5 linked regions of the Nothobranchius furzeri genome follow. The protein of the gene in region 3 purifies or fractionates together with the protein of the main gene of each other region. This does not show direct contact. Links are inferred from orthologs where the notes say so. Each region holds a gene or a part of one and is shown on either strand. Other genes may lie near its edges.

What was found. Proteins that work in one complex are often made in the same cells at the same time.
Region 1: the proteins of polr3k (region 3) and polr2h purify together in Homo sapiens (affinity purification with mass spectrometry; 3 studies listed by BioGRID and IntAct, with this or other methods). This does not show direct contact. The link is inferred for Nothobranchius furzeri from reciprocal best matches to the Homo sapiens genes POLR3K and POLR2H.
Region 2: the proteins of polr3k (region 3) and si:ch211-140b10.6 purify together in Homo sapiens (affinity purification with mass spectrometry; 3 studies listed by BioGRID and IntAct, with this or other methods). This does not show direct contact. The link is inferred for Nothobranchius furzeri from reciprocal best matches to the Homo sapiens genes POLR3K and POLR1D.
Region 4: the proteins of polr3k (region 3) and polr3b purify together in Homo sapiens (affinity purification with mass spectrometry; 6 studies listed by BioGRID and IntAct, with this or other methods). This does not show direct contact. The link is inferred for Nothobranchius furzeri from reciprocal best matches to the Homo sapiens genes POLR3K and POLR3B.
Region 5: the proteins of polr3k (region 3) and pdrg1 purify together in Homo sapiens (affinity purification with mass spectrometry; 3 studies listed by BioGRID and IntAct, with this or other methods). This does not show direct contact. The link is inferred for Nothobranchius furzeri from reciprocal best matches to the Homo sapiens genes POLR3K and PDRG1.

What each region holds. Positions count from the first base shown.
Region 1 is NC_091748.1:62,882,545-62,887,938, forward strand, and holds the start of polr2h (DNA-directed RNA polymerases I, II, and III subunit RPABC3), read right to left. Parts: upstream 3,239-5,394; 5' UTR 3,066-3,238; intron 2,833-3,065; exon of another isoform or gene 2,778-2,832; 5' UTR 2,766-2,777; coding exon 2,693-2,765; intron 756-2,692; coding exon 672-755; intron 585-671; coding exon 491-584; intron 397-490; coding exon 313-396; intron 154-312; coding exon 36-153; 3' UTR 1-35. Other genes in the region: lisH domain-containing protein ARMC9, read left to right, coding at 4,047-4,121, 4,241-4,366, 4,590-4,760, 5,081-5,236, 5,339-5,394. UniProt on the Homo sapiens protein: DNA-dependent RNA polymerase catalyzes the transcription of DNA into RNA using the four ribonucleoside triphosphates as substrates.
Region 2 is NC_091747.1:51,105,463-51,110,308, reverse strand, and holds si:ch211-140b10.6 (protein POLR1D), read right to left. Parts: upstream 2,800-4,846; 5' UTR 2,655-2,799; coding exon 2,629-2,654; intron 2,298-2,628; coding exon 2,223-2,297; intron 1,787-2,222; coding exon 1,435-1,786; 3' UTR 939-1,434; downstream 1-938.
Region 3 is NC_091745.1:3,876,098-3,880,269, forward strand, and holds polr3k (DNA-directed RNA polymerase III subunit RPC10), read right to left. Parts: upstream 2,358-4,172; 5' UTR 2,215-2,357; coding exon 2,104-2,214; intron 1,993-2,103; coding exon 1,905-1,992; intron 1,488-1,904; coding exon 1,360-1,487; 3' UTR 1,090-1,359; downstream 1-1,089. Other genes in the region: snrnp25 (U11/U12 small nuclear ribonucleoprotein 25 kDa protein), read left to right, coding at 2,684-2,905, 3,832-3,922, 4,064-4,169. UniProt on the Homo sapiens protein: Core component of RNA polymerase III (Pol III) which synthesizes small non-coding RNAs using the four ribonucleoside triphosphates as substrates. Can mediate Pol I proofreading of the nascent RNA transcript.
Region 4 is NC_091744.1:73,558,979-73,564,179, forward strand, and holds the start of polr3b (DNA-directed RNA polymerase III subunit RPC2), read right to left. Parts: upstream 3,239-5,201; 5' UTR 3,123-3,238; coding exon 3,051-3,122; intron 2,809-3,050; coding exon 2,776-2,808; intron 2,464-2,775; coding exon 2,407-2,463; intron 2,329-2,406; coding exon 2,264-2,328; intron 2,185-2,263; coding exon 2,109-2,184; intron 1,989-2,108; coding exon 1,888-1,988; intron 1,782-1,887; coding exon 1,690-1,781; intron 1,600-1,689; coding exon 1,482-1,599; intron 1,413-1,481; coding exon 1,304-1,412; intron 776-1,303; coding exon 653-775; intron 1-652. Other genes in the region: endouc (uridylate-specific endoribonuclease C), read right to left, coding at 3,706-3,981, 4,048-4,198, 4,283-4,395, 4,863-4,984, 5,054-5,165. UniProt on the Homo sapiens protein: Catalytic core component of RNA polymerase III (Pol III), a DNA-dependent RNA polymerase which synthesizes small non-coding RNAs using the four ribonucleoside triphosphates as substrates.
Region 5 is NC_091743.1:5,380,700-5,385,955, reverse strand, and holds pdrg1 (p53 and DNA damage-regulated protein 1), read right to left. Parts: upstream 3,239-5,256; 5' UTR 3,168-3,238; coding exon 3,084-3,167; intron 2,945-3,083; exon of another isoform or gene 2,776-2,944; coding exon of another isoform or gene 2,746-2,775; intron 2,636-2,745; coding exon 2,560-2,635; intron 2,338-2,559; coding exon 2,263-2,337; intron 2,181-2,262; coding exon 2,100-2,180; intron 589-2,099; coding exon 506-588; 3' UTR 424-505; downstream 1-423. UniProt on the Homo sapiens protein: May play a role in chaperone-mediated protein folding.

The sequences.
Region 1 (5,394 bases), on a different chromosome or scaffold from region 3:
TCTGTGTGTGTATGTTGGGGGGGGGATTTTTTAGTTCAGAAAGCCAGTTTTTTCATGAGGAGGTAGACTCTGGAGTCTACTTCAAAACCATGAAGATTGTTGGCATCGCCCTGCAGCCTCATGAGGAGGCCTCCATAAGAAACATAAGCAGATCTGAAACATCAAGCAAATCGGTGGAAGCAGATTAACAATACATGTCCGATCTTAAATTCATGATCATTAAAAAAATTATAATTGTTCCTTAACTTCAACACTTAGATCATTTTATTTTATTTGTTGTAAAAATTGTGCAGCAATAAGAAATTTACTCACAGGCGAGTTGCAGCTTCTGTTGAAGTCTCATCTCCTTCAATTTTGTAGACTTTTCCATACATCACATACTCGAACTGGTCCGCTCTATGAATGAAAATGTAAACAGAGAGCCCAAACCTCAAACATCAAAAGATCACACACACTACGAGATGATGGAAGAGTGCAAAAAATGTCTCACCGAGATGGTCGATCATCCTGAGGATTGTACTCTCCATCATCCGGTGTTCCATCTTCATACAAAGTACTGGCAATCACCAGTCTAAACTTGTCACCTTTATAATATGTTATAAGTCAGATTTTTATTGTATTAAGAATTAACTAAATAAGAGTGCCCTCGGTAAAAGGGCTTACGCTCTCACCAAGATCCACAGGATAGATCTGAATGTTCACGTCCAAGATGAGGTCCATCTTAAAAGATTCACTCTCACAGTGCAGACGAGACACTGCAATAGGTGAGAATTTGTCAGTAGATTATAAACATTGTCTGCTGTAGGTTATACAGGTGCTGGCCAGTAAATTAGAATATCATCAAAAGGTTGAAAATATTTCAGTAATTCCATTCAAAACGTGAAACTTGTACATTATATTCATGCAATGCACACAGACCAATGTATTTCCGATGTTTATTACGTTTAATTTTGATATTTATAGGTGACAACCAATGAAAACATCAAATCTGGTATCTCAGAAAATTAGAATATTCTAAAGGCCAATGAAAAAATGTTTGTTTCTCTAATGTTGGCCAACTGAAAAGAATGAACATGAAAAGAATGTGCATGTATAGCACTCAATACTTAGTTGGGGCTCCTTTTGCCTCAATAACTGCAGTAATGCGGCGTGGCATGGACTCGATCAGTCTGTGGCACTGCTCAGGTGTTATGAGAGCCCAGGTTGCTCTGATAGTCGTCTTCAGCTCCTCTGCATTGTTGGGTCTAGCGTATTGCATCCTCCGCTTCACAATACCCCATAGATTTTCTATGGGGTTAAGGTCAGGCGAGTTTGCTGGCCAATCAAGGACAGGGATACCATGGTCCTTGAACCAGGTGCTGGTGGTTTTGGCACTGTGTGCAGGTGCCAAGTCCTGTTGAAAGGTGAAGTCTGCATCCCCATAAAGTTGGTCAGCAGCAGGAAGCATGAAGTGCTCTAAAACTTCCTGGTAGACGGCTGCATTGACCCTGGACCTCAGGAAACAGAGTGGGCCAACACCGGCAGATGACATGGCACCCCACACCATCACTGACGGTGGAAACTTTACACTGGACCTCATGCAACGTGGATTCTGTGCTTCTCCGCTCTTCCTCCAGACTCTGGGTCCTTGATTTCCAAAGGAAATGCAGAACTTGCTTTCATCAGAAAACATAACTTTGGACCACTCAGCATCAGTCCAGTCCTTTTTGTCCTTGGCCCAGGCGAGACGCTTCTTGCGCTGTTTCTTGTTCAAGAGTGGCTTGACACACGGAATGCGACACCTGAATCCCATGTCTTTCATGAGTCTCCTCGTGGTGGTTCTTGAAGCGCTGACTCCAGCTGCAGTCCACTCTTTGTGGATCTCCCCCACATTTTTGAATGGGTTTGTCGTCACAATTCTCTGCAGGGTGCGGTTATCCCTAGAGCTTGTACACTTTTTTCTACCACATTTTATCCGTCCCTTCGCCTGTCTGTTAATGTGCTTGGACACAGAGCTCTGCGAACAGCCAGCTTCTTTAGCAATCACCTTTTGTGTCTTGCCCTCCTTGTGCAAGGTGTCAATGATTGTCTTTTGGACAGCTGTTAAGTCAGAAGTCTTCCCCATGATTGTGGTGCCTTCAAAACAAGACTGAGGGACCTTTTAAAGGCCTTTGCAGGTGTTTTGAGTAAATCAGCTGATTAGAGTGGCAGCAGGTGTCTTCTATATTCAGCCTTTTCAGAATATTCTAATTTTTTGAGATACCAAATTTGGAGTTTTCATTAGTTGTCACTTATGAATATCTAATTTAAATGTAATGAACATTGGAAATACATTGGTCTGTGTGCATTGCATGAATATAATGTACAAGTTTCACGTTTTGAATGGAATTACTGAAATATTTTCAACCTTTTGATGATATTCTAATTTACTGGCCAGCACCTGTATAAACTAAATCCAATAAGCAAGTTGGTTTTTTAACTGCTCTCTTAATGAGCTGAATGTCTTTCAATTTTATATTAGCTTTTAACTTCAGGATGCCAGATTTTCTTTAACATCACTATGTAAAGTCTGCCTTAACGTGGGCAAATAAAAACGTAGAATAAATGATTACTCATGAGTCAATATACCTGTGCATTATGTCAATACGACAAAAACAATATGATGGAATAATTAAATAAGTCACCCCAATACGTTATTGTACTTCATAAGTACCTCTGTCAAACTTCTTGCCATCTGGATCAATGTCTTTCACATCAAAGATATCTTCAAACAAAATTCCAGCCATCGTTGGCCCACTCTGTGAATTTGTGCAGGGGATCAAATGTTTAAGCCCCTGTTATGACTTGAACAACCTGTCAACAAAAAATAAAACGTAATAAACTATAGTAACTTTTAAAAAGCAATGAAACGTTAGGTAGCACAAGAAATCAACTGCTATAAGCATATTACCATAAAATACTTTTATATAAAAATAAGACTAGGACATACGTCAGTTAAAGTTGGCAAGTTTTATCTTCCACGTTGAATCTCCTATTTTGGCTAACAGCTAGCTTTAGCATACTGTTAATTCATTTGTTGCACTTACCCCAAATTATTTTTAGATGTCGTAATGCAAACACAGAAGCCTCGCAACTACTCGATTCTTTAGGACAACAGCGACTGTTCAAAACATAAGCTAGATTTGTTATTTAAGAGTAATTTAATTCATTGCTATCTAGCCAATCTGTGGCGCGCAGAAACAACGTGATTAACCTTTGACACGGGAAGTACTTCTCATAAAACAAAATAAAATGAAAAAATAAATGTTTATGTTAAAAAGCAAAGTAAAACATAAGAAATTGTAAAAATATAATACTCGTACTAAAATAATAGTTTTACCATTAAAATTGCATAATGTATCCTAAAAAAGGTCAACAATTACGTTTGTCTGTGCGTTGTTATAATTTACAATCGTTTACTTTTGTTTTTCTAAATCGCATGCCTCATAACTTAAGGTTATTCAATATATTTTCTTGTAAAATATAATACATTTAGTTAGTTTTAGTTTACGACACTCACATTTACTTTCCGGTGACCCTCTGGTTGCTAGGTATTTTTAGCGTCCCTCCTGTTTGTGGTTGCCAGCTATTTTTTCGTTCACTGTCCGACAAAGCGAGCAAAAATGTACTTTATGGATCTCGTTTACTTGTTAACGCATCACAAACTTGTTTGTACGTCAATTCTCCCAAATCAAATTACGTGCGAATAAGGTAGGAGCCATGTTAATGTCCTGTCGTGTGTCAACTAATTAGATAGCTTGTAGCTTCATAAGTTGTTGCTAATCTTGATGTTAAACCATTTAAGATGGTATAAAACCCCACATGCCTGCCGAAGTTACACTAGCATTCCGTTGTGCGTTTTGGTGTTTGGTTATTTTTACTACTGCTCATAGAATTAAGTTTTTACTTATGTATTTTGCTCTTTTGTTCTTGCACCTTTTAGCTTGAACCCTAGATCTATAAACGTTTTTGAATGAAAGCAGAAATCGTTCCCGTCTAAAGGGGTATTAAATGTTTTCGGTACACACATGAGTTCCAGTGAGGAAGCCAAGATGGGGGACGTCTTGGCAACAGAAGCTGATCTTCTTGGGATGATCAAAGAGGTAGAGAAGATATCTGGGTCACAGCAATATTGATGTTCGCTGAAAATGAATGAAATGCACCAAAACTCAGTGTCATCCTTCACTGTTTAAGTTGAATCATGTTTGTTTGTTTGTTGCAGTACCTCACGTTTGAGGAGTTTGAGGAGACTGTTCAGGTTTTTGACAAGGAATGCAAAAGGAAAGGCAAGCTGGTCTCAAAACCGAGAGGAAATGCTCTAAGAGACTCTAAGACTCGTGTCATTCAGGTAAACAATGCTCTTCTTCAACATGGAAATCTGCTATGTTGGTGTGTTTTCTGTCATAGTGGGGAGACGTTTATGTAGTTCCAGTAATCCTACAAAAGGACGTACACAGCCTAACAAGTATGCAAATGCCAAGATGGTCCAGCTGATTTTGAATATTTACCTGAATATTTTCTCTGAGTTCTTGTTTTGTGCGATTTTCTCCTTCTGAATGTGACGTTTCTAGAAGGACCTTCTTAGCTCATTTGATGACGGAGACCACAAGGTGTTTTTTGAGCTGTGGACAGAGAATATTCCCTCTGAGGTCAAACACACAGACACTGAAGCACAAAGCCTTGAGTTCTACCTCCATATCCACTTTTCCATCTATCCACTGAGAAGACACCCTAATAGACGAGTAAGTATTGGTTTTATTACCAAGAGGAAATCCAAAATACAACCAAATGTGTTGTTTTCAAAGTGTCCACCAAGCTGCGCCACATGCTTTCTCAAAAGTAGTACCCTTGAACAACACTAAATAACAGTAGTTGTCTAACTTACACTATGATGCATAATCCCTTATGTGAACATCATCTTTAGTTAAAATAATTAAGCCACCCTTTAGGAAGGAAAAAAGTCATGTGGCAAAGATGCTTCCTGATTTATTTTGAGCATGTTTGTAGACAGGAAATTTGTCTGACTGATAGTTTAAACATTTAATTTCAAATCGCTTTCCAGGACCAAGCTGAGTTTGAGGAGAGGATTTCCCTCTTTAAGCAGTACCTTGAAACTCGGGGTGCAGCTTTGAGTCAGACCACTGAGTTCTTGCCTTACTACGCTTTGCCTTTTGTTCCCAACCCCACCGTTCACCCGTCCTTCAAAGATCTTTTTCAGGTACTCAGAAATGATTCTTTCTGTATTTTTCGCCCATCAGCGACTGCAACATTCAAACTGAATTTACATTTTTCTTTTGCTTATTAATATTTTTGTGTTTAGGATTCATGGATCCCACAGTTGAAATCTAAGCTGGAGAAATTCCTTTTACAGTCATT
Region 2 (4,846 bases), on a different chromosome or scaffold from region 3:
GAATGACAGCGCCCAGTTTCCATGATATTCTGCAGCTTTTCCCCCTGAGTTGAACAGAGCAGTGCGTAAAATCGGTGCCAAAACGTTCACATACACCAACTCCGAGTGGAACAACAAAAATTTGGATACTTTCTTCACGCAGGACTCTCGTCCACAGACATGGAAGCAATCGACATTTTATGCGAATATGAGTCTTGTAAATCGATACTATGGGTGCAAACATTGGGTTGACCTGCGAGATAAGGCACCCGTTGTCTTGGAAACACACCTTAGTTTCCACAGCCTTTTATTTTAGTCCAGCTCTTTCTGACGTTTAAATCTGTCCATTACACTTTTCTAAATGCATCATTTAACACCATTTTTGCGCGCGCTGCCTCAGACGATAAAAAAAACCTTGGCGACGACAAACACAACTCTGCTGCACTCTCCTCGTGTTTGCTGGCCATTAATCTTTGTGTGTCCTCGCCCCATTTAACAATAGCCCTCTTGGTTAGTCAATTATCATGAAGAGACCAACTGAACTCAATTAACCGCCGTGCGCGTTTGGAGCGCGCGTCTCCACGGCCTTTTACGCACGACTTTCAGACGCATGTTTGTCACGCGGGACGAGCCGGCTTTTATTTTGATAGTCTGCGCAGCTTCGATAGACTATTTGCACTCAGATCTTCAAAAGCAATTATAGCACTTTCCAATGAATCTTAATGGCAGCACTCAACGGTGCAATAAAGTCCAGGTGAGCCATTTCTATGCAAAACACCCCCCTGCAATATGGCCTAATGGCCTTTATATTTGATCATTGTTGTAAAGAGGAAGGAAATTGTTAACCCAGGCTGTTCCATATGTGATTTATGAGGCGTGTTGCCCGTTAAGAAGGGAGGCAATCAGAATCAGACACTTTCGTCCCTGTAAAGTTGTAGAAATAATAAAAGACAGTGGAGTCAGAAAAAATGGAAAGATTTAATGGCCATCTGCCATCTCAAAGTGAGGACAATCACACAAAATCAACAGATTGTTCCTGAAACAAAATAAATGAAATGTTTTTTAGCTTTTTCATTGAGTAACAAACCAGTTTTTGACGGCATGTCAAAAAATGATAAAACATGCTTACTCTGTGGCGACAGCAGCGTGGCCTATGTAAACATCATGACACGTGATGAATAGTAATGGCGTTATAATAGAGATTAGGTCCCCCTCCTGTGACGAACACGGTTACACCTCATCATGAGTCACGAGAGAGACTGTTTGACCTCATTCTGTTGCATTTTATTGGGAAAAAAGAAAATAATCTACCAGTACGTCCAAAGAGACAAAACTCACTCTATTTCTCTGTAAAATGATATTTTAAATAAAGTTTTTCTCTTTTAAACACAAAGCAAACAGCAGCACCTCTCAGTCGGTTATGAGCTCCTGAGACTAAAAACAAAGCCGGTCCATTCATGAAGTCTGAATCCGTCTTTTTTTGTCTCTTTTCTGTCCATCGGCATGTTTCCGGTCTCTGTCGTCTTGGTGTCTGCTGCGTCTGTCCTTATCTCTGTCCGGCCTCTTATCTCGACTTGTGCGGCGGTCCATGTGAGGACGTTTATGATCCGAGGGGCCGCCAGTATTCCTGTGATCAGGCGGAGGCGTTCTGCTGCGGTCACGCTGTCTGTCCGGGGACTCGCTCCGAAGGCGTCCTCTTGTGGAGGAACATTTGGCTTGGGGTTCCTCTGTGCGCCGGTGCAGGCCCGTGGAGCGCAGGGTGTTGAGTAAGAAGCGTTTGTTGGTGCTCTGTAGAGGACACTTCAACCTGGAGAAAAATCCACAAACATCAGACACAGATCCAGAAAAATCCAGCAGTTGATGCCGAAAGAAGAAATTTAATTTCACAGATTCAATCAGACTTCAGCAACATGACTTTTGTGGGTGTTTTATCCCTTTAACTATAGAATAAAGAGGCTAAATAAGAAATTTTCACACATACGATTGAAATGCCCCAAAAAAACCTTTAATGTATATATATGATATAAGACCTCAAATTAAAATACCAACAGATAAGATAACTTTTAGTGCAAAACTAACATTTTTAGGAAGACACGTGGTGTGTTCAGATGGTTTAATGAGAACATGAGCAAAATAATCTAATATTTAAAATAATACTAGACACTAAGTAATTATCCAAAAAGAAAAAAGAAAAGAAAGAAAGCCAATCCACATGAGAGGGTCAGAGATATTTCAGAGCTCACCATCCTGCAGGACCCATGGTCTCTGCTCTCACCCGGGCTCTGTCAGTCTCCCTCAGGAGCTCCTCCACGGCGCGCCTAGACGGAACCGGACCCAGAACCAGGAGAATGAGTCATGAGACAAACAGGACAGAAATTCTGAGCAGATGTACAAGAAATATAAGATGAAAGTAAAGCGGACGTGTCCTTGTTTGACCCGAAATGAGTCTCATCACCAGATTGGACTCGCTACTTATGCCGACCTGAAACTACACACAACAGGCAGCTAGAGTCAACAAGTCAACTTTAAATACAGTAAACAACTCAGATCAGAACTACTAACAGACTGTTTTTCCGCAGCGTTACATTTTAGAGGGAAAATGTCTGCAAATGTGTTCAGACGGAAGTTAATAAAGATACATTTACTCACTTTTCTAGCTCATTTTCTTCCGCCATTGCGTCTTAATCACACAAAAACTCTTACAAATAAATAAAAACCTAATAAAACCTATAAATTTACGTTAATTTACGAGGCATTTCTTGTTCACTTCGCCGAGAGGTCCTTCAATCGCGGACCCTGTTTTTAGCTGCCCGGAGCAATGCCTGTTCAGTTGCAAAATCATGTTGAAAATAAGTTATGAAACCAAACTACATTTTTTATTTACAAGTAGATATGTTTGTGTATTATGTATTGATCTTTTTTAATTAAAATAATTGATATTTTTAAAAGTTCAATAAGTTATGGGGCACCCCTGGAAAAACATTTACAGCTGATTGTTTTAGCAACATTTGGCCACAAATAACTTTAAAACAAACATAGAATCAAACAAATATATAAACACACTTTGTTAAAAAAAAGGATTTATACTCAAATCGAAACGTAAAATGTGACATTTAAACTTGTACATTTTTTATTTGATTAAACATTTTCCATTGGGAACTAAGCCAACTTAATTCTTTGGTAAATTGTAAAAATAATTTAAATACATACAATGGCTTAATCAAAAGTAAAGTGATAGTTACAGAATATCATCAAGCAAGATATTTTAGTAATCTAGATTGTGATACATTAAAGGACAATAACAAACATTTTTATTTAGAAGTAATCTTCTTAAAGAAGACATATTATGCCTTTTGCATCCTTTTTGTGCCGCCATGTGCACTCTGCCTCTATAAACGCTCCAAACATGCCAATGTGTGGTTGTAGAAATGTTGTGCCTAAAACAAGCTATTTGAAATTGTCCCCAATTGTGACATCACAAGCAGGCCCAGTGCCAATACTCGCATTGCGCCCTGCAGTCTTCAGCAAAGTGCACTTGGAGAAAGTGTGCAGTAAGGCTTCGAGTGCGTGGACTACAACTGTGCAAATAATTGCTGAAGTGAGACAGGGAGCATTGCGTCATGAAACGCAACGCATGCCGAGATGCTGGTCCTGTGATACTTTTTCAAAAGCCTTTATTAACAACTTTTAAACAAACAACCCATTATTTGAAATAAATTTTAATTAATTGCTGCTTTGTCTAAAACATTCAGAGCATCAACTGATTGTCCCAAAACTAACTCATTCCATTAGAAAATATTCAGAAAAGGAACTTGAACCCTTTCTCCTGCAGCAATGACTTGTGGGTAATACACTTCACCCAGCACTGTAAGAATACTTTTGAGGCAGATAATTAAGTATATATTTGTTCTGTTTTTTTCTATTCTATTCTATTCTATTCTATTCTATTCTATTCTATTCTATTCTATTCTATTCTAATTTTTGTTCTGATCCTGTTTTTGAACAGGCGGTCGGTGTAAGCCACCTCTAAACTCAGCTCCGTAGACTCCTCCCATCACCTTTTGATTGGCAGCGGTGGGCGGGATCAGCGGCGCCAACGGTACGGGGGCGTTTTCTTGCGGGCTTGCGGAGCTCTCCGTCGGTTGCGGCGAATGCGTGATCGACGCCCCGCAGCTGATAATTGCTCCCCGCTTTGGGGCCCGAGTGGACGGCGCGGAGGAGCCGCCGGAAGAAGGTAAAACATCCATCACATCTGGAGACATCCATCTCCTGCATGAGCTGTGTCAGCGAGCGGGGTTGATGCTGTCGCCTCTTCTGTCCTGTCCTCTCGCGCCTCCGCTTCTGCAGGATGGGATGAAGTCAGACAGCTGGGGAGGGAGGTGAAAGAGGGGTGCGATGATTTTAATAACGATGTTGACTTAACCGGAATATGACACTGCAGTTTATGCAAGGCAATCTGGGACGACGACACCGGGAGGAGGAGAAAATGCTAGATTTAATCAAATCAGTGTCTGTTTTTGTTGTCACCCCTGCACGTCTGCCTGGAGAAAAACAGACAATTGAAACACACCTTGCAGGCCTCTTCTAAATAAATTTAAAAACATGGATGAAGAGATCGGGTCGAACGTAAGATAAACTTGAGTTTTAAAATCTGTGGCCTAAATTATGATGCCATTTCTGTTGGTTATTGCATTTCTGCACGTGCTAAAACCTTAGTTTGTCATTTGTGTGTAGACAAAATTCTGTCATTCGTTAATACAATACAAAGCATGCATGCATTCATACTTCTGCAGAGGACTATTGTCCTGAAAAAGATCAAAGTGCTTTGAGAGTTCTAAAATCCCAAAGATTATTTTCAGGGCCTGCT
Region 3 (4,172 bases):
ATGTTAACATTTTGTCTCTCACTGTTTTTTTGTTCTTACCTACCTAGTTGTTTCTTGTTTATCATTATCGTTGGTGTAATGTGAAAACCGTCCATTTAAACAAATACATTTATGTTTTATGCTTTAGTTACTTGTATTCATTACTCCAATCAACATGTTCTGATTCACTGTTTAGCTGTTACCTTTGTCCCCGTCTGTAGTTTTGAGAATAAAGTTAATATTTGCACTTTATAAGTTTAAACACACATTTTGTTTTCATTAAAACACGATTTTACCCTGAATAAAAGCAAAGTTTTATCCAGGTGTTACTAGTTTCTGTAGTCGACCGAGTTATGAGCCATATTCAGACTTTTGGGCCATTCCCATCTGTGCCGGGTCGGGTAGCCCCAGTCGGCCCCAGCCTGGCCCGGTTGATTCCACACATCCTTGCCTTAAGCCCATGTGGGCTGATTCTACCCACCAATCAGAGGCTTGCTCTAATGGAAGGTGTGAAGTTGCTGTCAGCAGTGGGTGTGTTGGCCCTGGTCGGCCTGAAGCAGACCCCCTCGAGAAGAGGGCTGAGAATGAGCCTTGGTTGGCCCGGAAAAATACCAGGCCACCCAGATATGTAAACAACCTACGCTACCCGGCCCGGGCCGACCCGGTACAGATGGGAATGGTCCACAAGTGTACTGAAGGCGATAGACAAGCTAATCACTTAAAAACGAAAGCATGACATCTTGGTGTGTGTTTTTCTGTCAGGCTCATGCAGCACCATTTCAGATTTAGCTGATCTTAAGAGGTTTTAAAAACTGAGTACTAAGCCATTAAGGATTCACCTAAATGAAGGTTCTTCGCTTAGATGAAATGAAATACATTTGATTAGTGAGATTTTAATGAGCTTCATGAAGTTGTTGAATTAGACCTTTTGCAAAAGTGATTCTGAACACTAACAGTGAATCATCTCAGCATGTGGGATACATCAGCCACTAATGCTTCTCGCAGTTTGCCTGGGCTATACCTTTAGTAATAATCATTGATGTGCTCCGACTCTGTGCATATTTTTTTCCTCAAGACTGAAAAATCTGTGCAAAATATAAAACAAAAAAACACATTTTGTGAAGGATTGTAATGGAACTTTAGTCATGTTGTGAAAACTGCTGGTCTGCATCGCTCCAGATGTCTGATGTACAACTATGTACGCAATTTATGTGACTGTACACAGGCGCTATTTTACCAATAAAAATCATGAAGTAAACACTTTGTCATGTGGAACATTTATCACAACTGGAAAGTAAATGGTGCAAATAAATACAGAAGAAAAGGAAAACCAGGCCAGAAATCATCTGAACATTTGAAATAACTACAAGTAGAAAACTTTCAGTCTCTCCATCGATGTCCACACTGGGCATTACAGCATTTGTAGAAAGTTGTCATGGGTTCATCAGCAGATCTGGTCTGAATCTGCATGAAATACGCCCGAGGATGCTCACACTTGGGACATTTTTCTGTACAGAGATAGAGAAGGAATATGTCAGCTTAGAGGCCACACCGGTATGTACCATCTTATACCCCAAATACCTCTGGTATGTCCAGGTTTTAGTTTAAGAATGTTAATCTTAAGAAATCACTAATCCTGTTTAAGGATCATGAATTGTTTTAAGGAGATAAATAATAGTTTATTAAGCATCTAGCCAATTCTACTATGACCTAAATAAAGATACAGGATATCAGGATTGTTGAATGGTTTGGCTTGAACAAAAAGAAAAACTGAAAATCCTGGATTAATCCGTTTGTATAATTGAAAATTGGAAGTACACTTTTCTCATTTTAGGCGTTAAAACACTTTAATTACTTAACTAAAACTAAAGAATATGCTAAACATTTGTATGCAGACTCCAGGAAGTCATTTTAATGTTATTTACCTGCAGTTGAATCCACGTTCTCCCACGCAGCAGCCCCACCGAGAACATCATCCACCTCCTTTAATTTGGGATACTTTCGGTTGTTTACCTTCAAGAGAAATAAAACAAGACCTTAAACTTACAAACCTAACGACAAATATTTTGTGTTTCTGACACCAACTAGATGATGAAACCTGGTTTAGTTACGGGTGACTCCTACCTTTCTTGTGATGTTGTGTATGTAAGGACAGGTGTTACACGCGAACCTCATACACTTCTGTCCTTCTTCTACGATCAAAACGTTTCCACAGGTAGGGCAAAAGAGTAGCATTTTAAATGTAATCAATTTGGTCGCAAACCATCAACTAAATGGAATCTAAATGTGATTTCACCAGAAACCATCTGCTGCGTAGAGAAAACCGGAAGTCGACTGATGAAAACAGCTCGAACGGAAACAACCGGAAGTCGCTAATCGTTTAAACAACATGCCTAATTGTATGTAAACAATTCTATATTAAAATGAATGTTATTAATTTATGATAAGAATACGTATTTATCAAATGTTAACGCAGCTGTTCATTTTTATTTTCATCAAGTGGAACCTTTTACATAAGGTCCATTTCCGTTCCGGTAGTTTGTTTGTACTGCACACAGTTACATACGGGCTTTTGCTGTTCTAATTCTTCTTTTTTAGCAGCAGTTTTGAAGTAAACCTGTAATTGTTGTCCAGGTAAATTGTATCCAGACGACGTTTTCTAGCAGGAAACCCGGAAGGTACCCAATAGCTGGATGATTATCGGATGGAGGAGGAGCAGAGTCCAGGTTCTGCTGTAGTCAAAGGAGGTGAAGGAGCGCAACTAGTGCAGGATGAGGAGGTGAAAAAGGAGAGCTTCCTAAACGAGGCAGCTGCTGAGGAGGAGGACGATGAAGATTCTCTCCCTCACTCTGAGATCCTGGATATTTTTGAAGAAGGACTTGCTCGACTTGTGCAGGACCCTTTACTCTGCGACCTGCCAATCCAGGTGTTATTTCTGAGTGCCCTCAGTTACTCTGAAGGAAAACGTGTGTTGTCACCTTTATTTGAGATTCACTCATTGGAGCTGGTCTATTTTATTTTTAAAGTCCAATGACGATTGTAGAAGATATTTGGGCCAGGATTATACTTTTGTAGGATTTAGTAAATCACACTGTTACAATATCGTTGGGTATTGCGATGACGATAACAGTTGTGCTAAATCCTCATTTTCCTCACTCTGTTACCACACATCACTCACCACTGGTGTGTTTTCAGCAATAGCATTAAGGAGATTCAGTCACATGAACATGTCCCCATCTACTGTGAATCAAGCTGTTTTTGTGTGCCACTGAAGCAGTCACAGTGATGATGTTTTGTGATACATTGTGCAGCTTTTGTTACTTTAGTCAAAAGTTTGGACACACACCTCACCTGCAATTTCCAAACAGTCTATTTAGATACCTATTAAAACTCAAATGGATCCCATTTGCACTACAAAGTGTTTATGAATCAATTTGCAAGCTTCCAATGGAGTAAAAACAGCAGATCACTGCATATTACAGTTTTTATTAGAGCAAAGACAAAATTATCTCCCCAAAGTCCTTGCTGATGTCTCTTCTTGCTTGTATGTTAAAGCTGTGTGATTTGTACTCTGTCCTAATATTGGTTACACAAGAGGACAGCAGTAGAAGTATTAGCTCACGTCTACCTTGTGCATTTTGTTAGGTCAATAAAGTATATTCAAAATATTTCACTGTATTTTGCTCAACTTGTCAAAGTATTTCCAAATTTAAGACCAGCAATAAATCTTCATAATCTAACAGCAAGTCCTCTCAGGGTTGTGAGCTTTTCTAGATGATGATGGTCTGATGTGTGCAGAGAAATGGTAATCGGTGGCGTCAATTTTAATGTTTTTTTTTTCTGTACCATCAGGTCACACTGGAAGAAGTAAATTCTCAGATAGCTTTGGAGTACGGCCAGGCGATGACTGTGAAGGTCGTGAAAGCAGATGGTGAAATCATGCGTAAGTGTTGCTTTTTCATTGTTTTATTATTTCTTTTTTATCAACTTTCTATTTTTTGTTATTAGATGATTGAAAATTATAGCCTGACATCTACTATTCTCATCACACTTACTTTTTTTTATTTATTATATTTAAATGAAGCCATAGTTGTAGTCCAAAACGCTTCAGTCCTGGACCTGAAAAAGGCCATTTGCAGATTTATGGAGTTGAAACAGCAACGGGAGGGAGGAATAAAACATATCAGCTGGTA
Region 4 (5,201 bases), on a different chromosome or scaffold from region 3:
AAGTGAAGATCTGCGTTTTCTCCGTTTTGGGTGTCTGCGTGTGGACGGACAAAACCGGAGTTTTAAGGTCCGCAACGTCACTTTCCGCGACAAAAAAAAAAATGCTGACATCACGTGTGCGACCTGTGTTTACACTAGCCGACAGCATGGAAGCCTTCAGAGCTGCGCTCTGTCACTACCCGATCCATCAATTGTCCAAGCGCTTTTTGCTTGTTTGTTTTTGCAAGCGGAATTACTGCTCCTTGCGGAAGACCACAGACGAAGGACGAGGTTAAGAACGGGGGAAGTACTGCCGCCTACAGGTCTGGCATGTCCTTAACAACGTATTTATCCGGGTACGTGTGGACAGAGTTTGTTTTTAAAACGCGGTGGTGTGGATGCAAGTTTTTGGAGGGGCGGATATTCGTTTTTAAAAAACCCGGCTACGTGTGGACTAGGCCTAAGATTTTTGTCTCTAGACCAAAGCTAAGTGTTTCATGAGCCACAGTGGGACCCTGACCCAGACTTTTGGAACCACTGAGTATACAAAGAGGAGGGGTAAAATTAACTCATCTGTACCTGCGTCATAAACACCAGATTGGTAACCTGACCTGAGATTAGCCTGTAAAACATGTTGATGTAACCAGTGGCTTTTTTTTTTTTACTGAAATACCTGAGTCTGGGTGAAGATCTGGGCTTTCTGACACTCCTCCAGACTCGGGGCGAAGCTAGCCATGACGTTCTCCTCGGTGCCGATCATCTGAACGATCTCCTGGTCACTTTCTACACCCATACCCTGTGTGGGTCACAGACATGATGCAGAAGACAAGGGACTAATGTGAAAGGGGTGAACTAAATCATTTCAATATATAACCACGTTGAGACTATATGAGCTGAAACATTAGGAGGTGGAGTGTTGGTGGGGGTCAGAGAGGTTAGCTCGGAGTCATGGGGGTGCATGACATTTGCTTATGGAAATGTGAAGCTGTGGGAACTGATTCGTGTGCTCCACGGAGGAGATGAGGTCGCAGAAGGAGGTGGGGAAGGAGCAGTCCAGGATGTACGAGCTCTCAGCAAACAGAACCGAGGGTTCAGACACTCACAAGGTAATGTGTTAGAAAAGCTTTTCTCCAGAGGTGATGGGAGATCACAGCACCAGCTGTTCCACTGACATTTTCACTCCGGCTGATGAACAGAGTTCATCAAAACCTCCCACAGCATGAGTTTATCAATTATGATTTTACACAGATCAGAGCTGCAGAGAAAATCTTCTCTTTAGTTGTGTTGCAGCGCCACCTACTGGACGTACTTAAACTGGTTTTACCTTGAATATAATAGCGATGGGAGCGTCTTCAGACAGCGTGTTGTGTCTCAGGTAGAACCGACCCTGCTTCACAATCATGTTGGTTCTGCTTTTCTTCTCGTGAGTGGAGCTGAAACAAAACAACAAGTTAAACTGTCTAACTCCTTCATTTGGGAGGAAGCTGTAACTTTATTCCTACCTGGTAACCGAGGCGCCGACTGCACCCTTCCTGTCCTGTTCCACAATGATCCGATTCTTGGACAGCTGCTCCTGGATCAGGATGACTTTCTCCTGGCCTTTTACAATAAAATAACCTCCTGAAAATCAAAAGAACACAACTCTGTCAAACAGAGGACCAGAATAAAACATTAAGAATTAGAGTTAGATCCTTTTTAACAACAGTGTACCTGGGTCCAGAGGACATTCGTTGAGTTTAGAAAACTCCATGGGAGTCTTTCCTGTGAGAACACAGTTCGAGCTTCGCAGCATGATCGGCATCCTGACACGAGTAGAAAGAATCCTCTTAACAATAACATCTTGACGAGTTTTGAAAGCTGAAATGCAGAATTTGAGAGATAAATTAGAATGAGTCAAAAATCAGAAACCTTCCAATAGGCAGAGCGTTTCGGATGATCCTTTGACTGCCGCGAGTGTATTCTATGTCCACTGTGATGGGCGCCGAGTAGGTCATGTCCCTGAGGCGACACTGTGGAAACAGAATTTCTCCTTTAAGCAAAATAATCAACAAATATTCCCATAAATCCACTGATGGATTTAATTTACAAACCTGTCAGACTGAAACATGATCTCATCTGATCAGACTCACCTCATGAGGAGAAACCGGTCGGGTTACGTTAAAGCTTTCCTCAACATCGGGCATCCCAACGTAGATATTGAGGTAGCTGCACAGGAACCACTTCTCAGATTAACTCCAATTCAAGATAAAGGGCGTGTCAGTAATATAACGATTGAATAACTTACTTCAAGTACCACAGTGGATCAGCATCACTTGTGATCTTCTCATTTGCTTTCATAATTTTCTTGATCTGAAACACAAGATGCTTTTAGTGAAGTGAAATCTTAAACAGAGGAGTAAAAGCCCGGTTGGTGGGTTTCAGCTTTACCTCAACGTTAATGAAATAGTTAAACGAGTCAATGTGCTGCTTCACCAAACCTTTCACCTGCAACGCACACAGAGATGAAAGAGAAAAAAAGAGAGGAGCATGGATGTATCTCATGGTTAAACTCTTAGGTCACTGAGGGCTAAAGGGATTAACTTTAATTATTTAAACCTGACTTTTCATAAATTAATGAATCTGATTAGATCAAATTAACTAACAAAAGTCGGAAATTAAATTAAAAATACAACAGAAGTCTTCAAATTGTAGAATTAATAAAAATCTGGATTATAAATGGAAATTTCTGCTTAAATATTTGTCTAGATTTTCCTCGGGGGGGGGGGGGGGGGGGGATAATTCTACTTATTGTGTTACCTTCAGAAAGGCTGGTAACAACTTCCATTTTTCCTGTCAGGAAGAGAAACAAACCAGTTAATTAATTAAATTATTCCGTTTCTGGAGCACTTTATGCCGAGGTTGGCCAAACTCTGGATTTAATGCTACAATGTTCCAGCTGTGACATAATTCCAGACTCATTTAACAACTAAGAAGCTTCGTTGCACCACACCATCAGTTAAATCTGTTGAATTAGCTTACTGCACTGCACTCGTGGTGTAAAAACCTTTTTGTCCGATTTTCCCCGAACTTACCGCCACAGTGTTGACAGGAGCCGCCAACTCCTGAGGAGTCATTTCTCCAAACTCTCCTCCCAGCAGCTCCATAGTCACCGTTGCTGTTCTACTCTAAACATTTAAAAATATAAATAACGTTAGTGTTGACACAACACGCAGGAAGTGTCGGCTGCATGCGTCCCAGCTATGTGTTTCAATTTCAAGCGTACGTAGAAACGTTGGGCGGAACTACATAGTTCCGTCTGGAACGACTTCTTCGGAGGTCGCGGGATCTCAACAGTTTAATAAACGTATGCCACCTAGTGGTGCAAAACGTTACTGAAACAAAAAAAGACAAGAAATTCACTTTTTGATTGTTTTACTTAGTTGTTTTATTTAGTACGAGAAACAAACAAAAAGTAACTTAATGTACTGGAAAAACACGTTGACTTTTTCAAGCATAAATAGAAAATTAATTAGAATTAATGCTTTTGGTTTTGACTAAAGCAGAGGAAAAAACTAAGGAATCTGATTGAATCAATTGATCCTCTAACGCTATGCTGATAAAAGCAACACAAACTATTCTATTAAAAGCATCTTCTACATTTTTGAATAAAGTTTAGAACAGTCATGATGGATGTTCAGTTTGCTGCCTCCATACAGACACCACCTGTCATTTCAGGTGTGGACAGGGTCAGCGAGCGTGCCCCCTGACATGTCTGCTGTTGCTGCTGAGCAGTTTGGGGTATGCCGTCCCCAGACAACGTCCCTGCCTGACGACCACCAGCTCCAGCTGACACTGGTCGATGTTGACCAGCACTGTGGTGCTCCTCTCTGTGTTCATCAGGAAGATGATGGTGAAGATGGCCATCTCAAACTCAGGGCTGGTCCCAATGAAGGCACTGCCGACGGGCTTCAGCACACCGTGCCAGCTGAACTGGAGGTTCAAAACGTGGTCATCCTGGTCAGGCTGCAGGTGGAAGCAGACATGAGATGGTGCCGACAGAGATGCGTCTCCTCCATGTGGTGAACTTACCAAGTCGTGCTCTCTGGCCTTGTATCCCTTGTAATCCAATTGGCTGTTTTTCTCCTGCAGGTAGAACTGAACCCAGTTGTGAAAGCCAATTATTTCTGTTCCGGATCTGGTTTCACCAACAAAAACGTGTTCAAACCCACAAGAGTCTGGGCTGTCACACAAACAAAATGGTTACTTATTATCGTCACAAACAAAGTGATAAAAGACTCTGACGCATTGATGTTCAGACTCCCACCCCGTGTTCCTCTGTCGGTGGTAAAGATGAAACCAGATCAAGCTCAGCTGACTCTTGAACAGCCTCAAGTCAGACCTGGACTTTCCTTTGCTCACCAGATACTGATGGGCACGCTGAGAAGAAATCACATAGATTACTCAGAAAGTTTCTCCAGTTTGAGCAAATGAACAGTTAATGTTGCAAATGATAAATAAAAGCTGCAGCTTATACCTTTCCTTTGAGGCAGTGTTTTGAAACGTTAATTGAATCAAAACGTGATGTAAAACAATTTTGTTCCCTGACTATAGAGTAAGAAACACTTTATGGGTTTAACTGGACCAGAAAAGTATTTCCTCCTAAAACAAGTACTGAAAGTTCACATTTTTCCAGTGATCCTCTTTGGGGAGCCCACTGAGGCCAACACAACATTCCACAGCTGCACACAGATGTTTCAGCTGCCTGTTTTGTTATTTTTTTCCCTTTCTTCAAACATCACGATGAGTCGAGTTTCTGCAGTGTTCAGCTGCAGCTTCAAACCACAAAATGCATGAAACGATGAGAGGTTAAAGACATCTAAGTAACAAAATCTGCAACAAGTCACCTTCATAACTTGAGTTTCTAAAACAGCATCCAGGAAGAGACTGATCTCTGTCTGCTCCTCTGTTGTGACTCGCTCCGTGATGCCTGTAGACCGCTCATAGTTGTCCAGGAGTTTCATTAAGCCTAAAAGCATAAATGTACATTTTTAACACTAAATCGTTTTAACAATCTACCAGTCACAATGAAACTCACGAGAAAAGGTGGTCATGTTTCCCAGTTTTGCTTCATTAACGTTGGAGAACAGAGGCAAAGAGGCGTGATCCTGCACCACCAGGCTGCCCTGGCTTACAAATCCTGCTCTGCCCTGGACAGGAGAGTCCCACAGTCCTCACAAATAATA
Region 5 (5,256 bases), on a different chromosome or scaffold from region 3:
ATGTGGTCCTGTTGGCTTCATCAGAACGTGATCTCCAGCTTTCACTGGAGCGGTTCGCAGCCGAGTGTGAAGCAGCTGGGATCAGAATCAGCTCCTCCGGGCACGTCCAACCGGGAGGAGACCTTAAGGAAAACCCAGGACACGGTGGAGGGACTATGTCTCTCACCTGGCCAGGGAACGCCTTGGGATTCCCCGGAGGAGCTGGCGGAAGTGGCTGGGGAGCGGGAAGTCTGGACCTCCCTGCTTAAGCTGCTGCCCCCGCGACCCGACTCCGGATAAGCGGCCAAAAATAGATGGATGAATTTTTAATTTCTTGTGCTTGTGAAGCGTCTTGAGGGAGGGCTTGTTGGAGGGTTTTAAAGCACAAATCAATACGGTAATCCTAATTTCTATAACATTTTTGTTCAGCTTCAACAACATCAGTTACTGTCCTGGATTTATTGAGCAGAGCTGTACAGAAACTGGGTTTAACACGTCGGCGTTTTCGTCCTCAGCAGTTAGCTGCTCATCTCTTCAGAAGGCTGGTGATAGCTTTCATCTCATCAGAGGATAGAGGAGACAGATTATAACCTCTCAGCTCAGGATTTCCTGAAAGCAAGCAAACAACAAAGAAAAAATATCACAAACAACAAATACTCTACAGACAAACATGAGGTGCTTCAAAGGATCAACTCAAACAACAAATAAATGTTTTCCAAACACCCATCAGCTCCGGCACCGCCATCACTCACGCCAGCTGCTCGTCGTGTGAGATCAAACCAACAACACCAACATCACTGATAAGCTTCAGGTGCAGGTGCTAGCAGAACAGCCACACGAGTGGTTCGTGCAGGTGGGGCTCAGCACACGCCCCTGTGGAGTGAAAGTCTGAAATAAATAAAACCGTGATCATGTGATCCTCAAATCTGATCTCCTTTCCAGCGTTCCTGACTGACCCGGGATCTGTTGTGTCTACTATTGTACAGGTCCGGGGCGAGCCCAGTTGGGGGGTTGGGTGTGTGGGCTGCAGGAGCCCAGTGACTGAGCTGACCACACGGGGAACTTGGTCGTTTTTCCAGGGTTTTGTCCTTTTCGTGGCCCGACCACGGTCATTTCTATTTACAGCTGTGGTCGTCTGTCGTTGTCTGAGTGTGAGACGGAGAGGCTGAGCCGTCCACTTCTTGCAGGAACTGAAAATAATTTATTATTGTGACGCTTCTCTTTCAGAAGCCGCCTGAATGTTTCAGAAGACAAAAACTGTTACGGTAAGCCAAAGAACGCGTGAAAAATGTGTCAGAGCGGCGTTTTGTGATAAAACGGGTCATCACTACTAACTCTTTCTCCACTCAGATCCAACAACTTATCACACGGAAGGATTCACAACACCTGTTGGGAGACAGCTGGTGCTTTGGGCCGACAGCTCACTGAACTAGAACCTTTAGTTCTGAAACAGACACTCAACCCTAACCCAGCACCAGATGGACTCCAGCAGCAGAAGACCACACCAGCTGTCAGCCAACAACAGGAACCTGGGCCTCAAATCCCCACAGCATCACCAGAAGGGACCGGAAAACGTTGCCTGGTCTGACGAGTCTAGACCTCCAACACCAGGATCCCAGTGTCGGTGCTTTTTCATCGAGTTCCTGATTATTTTCTTTGCAGTCAGAGTTTCTTACTGTTTGTGCCTCATAATGAAGAGAAGTGTGCTCACTAGGATGCAGTTCACGAACAACAATGTCCTGCTATGAAAATGGACCTCTCATTAAAACAATATGAAGCTGGAGGATTAGTTTCCAGTGTTGCTTTTCTAACAAACGATAAATATTTTCTAAATGAGCACACTAAACGTTTAGGAAGTGTCCGAGAGACTGCAACCAAATTAATGGTCACATTTATTATCATTATTATTATAATAACCAGAATAATAAACTCTTTAAAAAGCTTTAGCTTTCATTTAGTGCCCATAAAATAAATGTTAAATGAAGAAATGGTTCCAGGTCCATTCTGATCCGGAGACTGCTGTTTCGTGAGGATCTATGAGGTGAACAAGGGTCTGTAGTACCGGTGCTTGAATCATTAGTGTGGTGGATGGAACCGCTGATGTGTCACAACACACATACCTTCGATCTCGTTGAGACGACCGACTTTAGTTCTCAGCTCTTTGCGAAGGTGGTTTATTTCCTTGTCCAGCTGCTCTTGGTCTGCAGGTTGGAGAAACGGCTCAGACTAAATTCGACTCGTGTTAAAAACGGAAGATCTAACTTGTAAACGATAAAGGATCACCTTTCCGGATCATCTGCGTCGTTTTAGACTTGGAGAACTTGATGAACATGTTTCCAAAGCAAACCTTGACTTTTTCTGTGGACGGCAGCAGAGGCGGCCATTACTCCTTCATCACCAGGGTCACCAATAAACAACCACGAGTTTCATAATTAGCCTGAGATTATTTACAGATTACACGTGTTCCTTTAGGCAATAATAACAGACGGATGTTCCAGCTTTATGGGAACGTTTGGTTGTTGTAGCTACAAGGGTTCCTCTGTGGTGTTCTGGTGGCCTGAGTGCTGATGGATCACAAACCTTTATCCGACATCTCATGTTTCAGTGCGTTCAGCGCCTCTCTGTTGAAGTTTCTCTTCATGTCCAGGTCAACAATCTGAAACACACACACACGTTTGTTTTAAGGGAGGACATTATTAACTGGGATATCCGTGCGTGTGTGTGTGGTTTTAGAACAACAGTTTTCTTCAGATATCATGAACGCACCACCTGACTGGACCAGCTACAGAAGGACATTTGACTCTAGACAACATCGGTGTGGTGACGGGTAAATGAAGTGTTGAACCAACACCAGAACTTAGCTCTCTTGGCTCCAACCGCTAAAATCCTCATGCATAAAGCTGCTAACGCACAGAACTGCGTCTGAAAACCGCGTACGTCACATCCACTCACACTTGTTAGCATGAAGCTAGCAGCTGTAACCCGCTACGGGTCTCACCGCGTACGTCACTTCCACTCACACTTGTTAGCATGAAGCTAGCAGCTGTAACCCGCTACGGGTCTCACAGAACCAGCCTGGCCACGGTGGGTCTGGATGTGTTTACCTGTTGTTTGGCGGTGAGAACATCCTCAGCCGCCTCTTCCACTTCAGTCAAGCGCTCCAAAACACGCAGAGAAGCGTCGTCCATCTTTGAGTCTTCTTCTTCTGGGCTAACGGTGGACTACCGCCCCCTGCTGGAGAGAGGTCACCTCCGCATCCGCCGCGAAGCTTTTCACAAATGTATTTTCAGAGGTGTGACCATAGACTGTACATACTCCACATACAAATGTTTTTCTGTATTTTTGTAAATATTCTCATCATAAACTAAATAAATAGGAAAAACATTTTCAAAAGCATGTCCAAGTGGGCTCAAATTCTTCATGTATAGCAGGTGTGACCAAGTCACTGCTTTGCAAGTCATAAGTAAGTCACAAGTCTTTCCATTCAAGTCTAAAGTCAAATCCAAGTCAAAGACAACCAAGTCCAAGTCAAGTCCTTAACTTTGAATTTTCAAGTGATAATCAAGCCATCTGTCCAACTTCTATTTAATGACGATGATAATAAATTAATTCCAGAAAAAAACCTTCTTAAAGCTTCTTTTTTTTTGCTCAAACAAGCAGAAACTGAGACTGGTTATAAACAAAGCGCTGCTGCATTCAGCAGTAAATCAAACCCAGAACCAAGAATGATTTATGATTTTTGTCCATGTCGTGCCACTTCTGTGACAAAATATCAAACATTCTCAAGTCATCATCAAGTCAACAGATGCAAGCCGATTCAAGTCACAAGTCACTGGTGTTCAAGTCCAGTCAAGTCATAAGTCTTTATAGATTTTATCAAGTCAAGTCAGAAGTCATTCAAATAATGACTCAAGTCTGACTCGAGTCCAAGTCATGTGACTCGAGTCCACACCTTTGTGTATTATAGTCAAAATGTACAAGTTACTGTGCAAAACAAACAAATTACAAATCATTTTCCTTGGACCAATAGAAAAAAGTCCATCGTTCCTGAAACTTCAGCTGAATCCCTTCCAGAAACATCTGTTATTGTCACATAAAATAAGAGTGGACTCAGCATTAACGCCTTTAAACCAAGTTTCATGATGGACAGGACTTAAAAGCAACATTACACGCACGGTGGTCACGGGTGTAATGAACTGACCAGGTTTGAAAATGGACCCAAATATTCCAGAAACAGTTTTCAGACTTTCAATTTTCCACATTTTCCTCATTCAAACGCAGCAACACTCAAATAAGTACTTTTTATACTTGTGACAGTTTAAATGTTCTTGATTTAAAGAGCATAAGTTCTGATTTGGAAGCGATAACTTTTCTTTTGGAGCCAAACTTTCCCGGTACACATCCGGTGGAGGAGACTGAGCCCAGCTTGTGGGTATAGCCTCGCTCCACAGGAGCCTCAGCTGGTCCCCCATGGGCCTGGCTCACCAGGTTAGGCTACAGTAACACTTATAGATGAAATGCTTGAGGGTTTGGGAACCTTTTAATGGTTTGAAGTTTGAGTTTAAGACTACTCATGTAAATATTAAAACTGGGCCAATGATTTAGTGTGTTTAAGTGTAATAAACAGAGGTGGGCCAGTATATGAAAAATGATCAAAGTCAAGCTTTTTCATCTGAGGACACTGTAATGACACCCCAGCTCCACGCACCAGGCTAGTCAGAACTTCATAATAAATCAGCTTCTCTGAAACCTGCTCAGGAGGGATCTGTCTGATGGAAGAGCCTAACTGGTCTAGACTGGATTTAGCCTGTTTCCCTGTCAGCTGTGAGCGAACGATTGGGGGGGCTATGCCTGGGGGGCTCCTGGCTCTGGGAGTTTGGAGGGCTTCTCCTGGAATCCAGCTGGTGGATTAAAAATATCCGTTTGCCAAACGAGCGAGTTCAGAGGTTTGTGTGAGATGAGATGGTTGAAGTCCAGCTCCCAGGACTTTTAGGAATCTTTAATGTCCTAAAAGTATTTTATTCTGATTTATTTCATATTTCCAGATTTATGCTTCACGTTATCAAACATTACGAATTAGAACTTATCAGCAAATTAGTGTTGAAATAATCTCAACTCCTGTTTTACTCCAAAAGTTCAGCTTCTGCTTCATATGAACGCTACGAAACGAAACCACATCTAAAACCAACGTTTTTAATTAGATATCAGGAAACGTCTTTAATTCAACTAAAAAACTCTGAAGATCAAACAGCGATTTCATCTGATAACTTTGTGTTT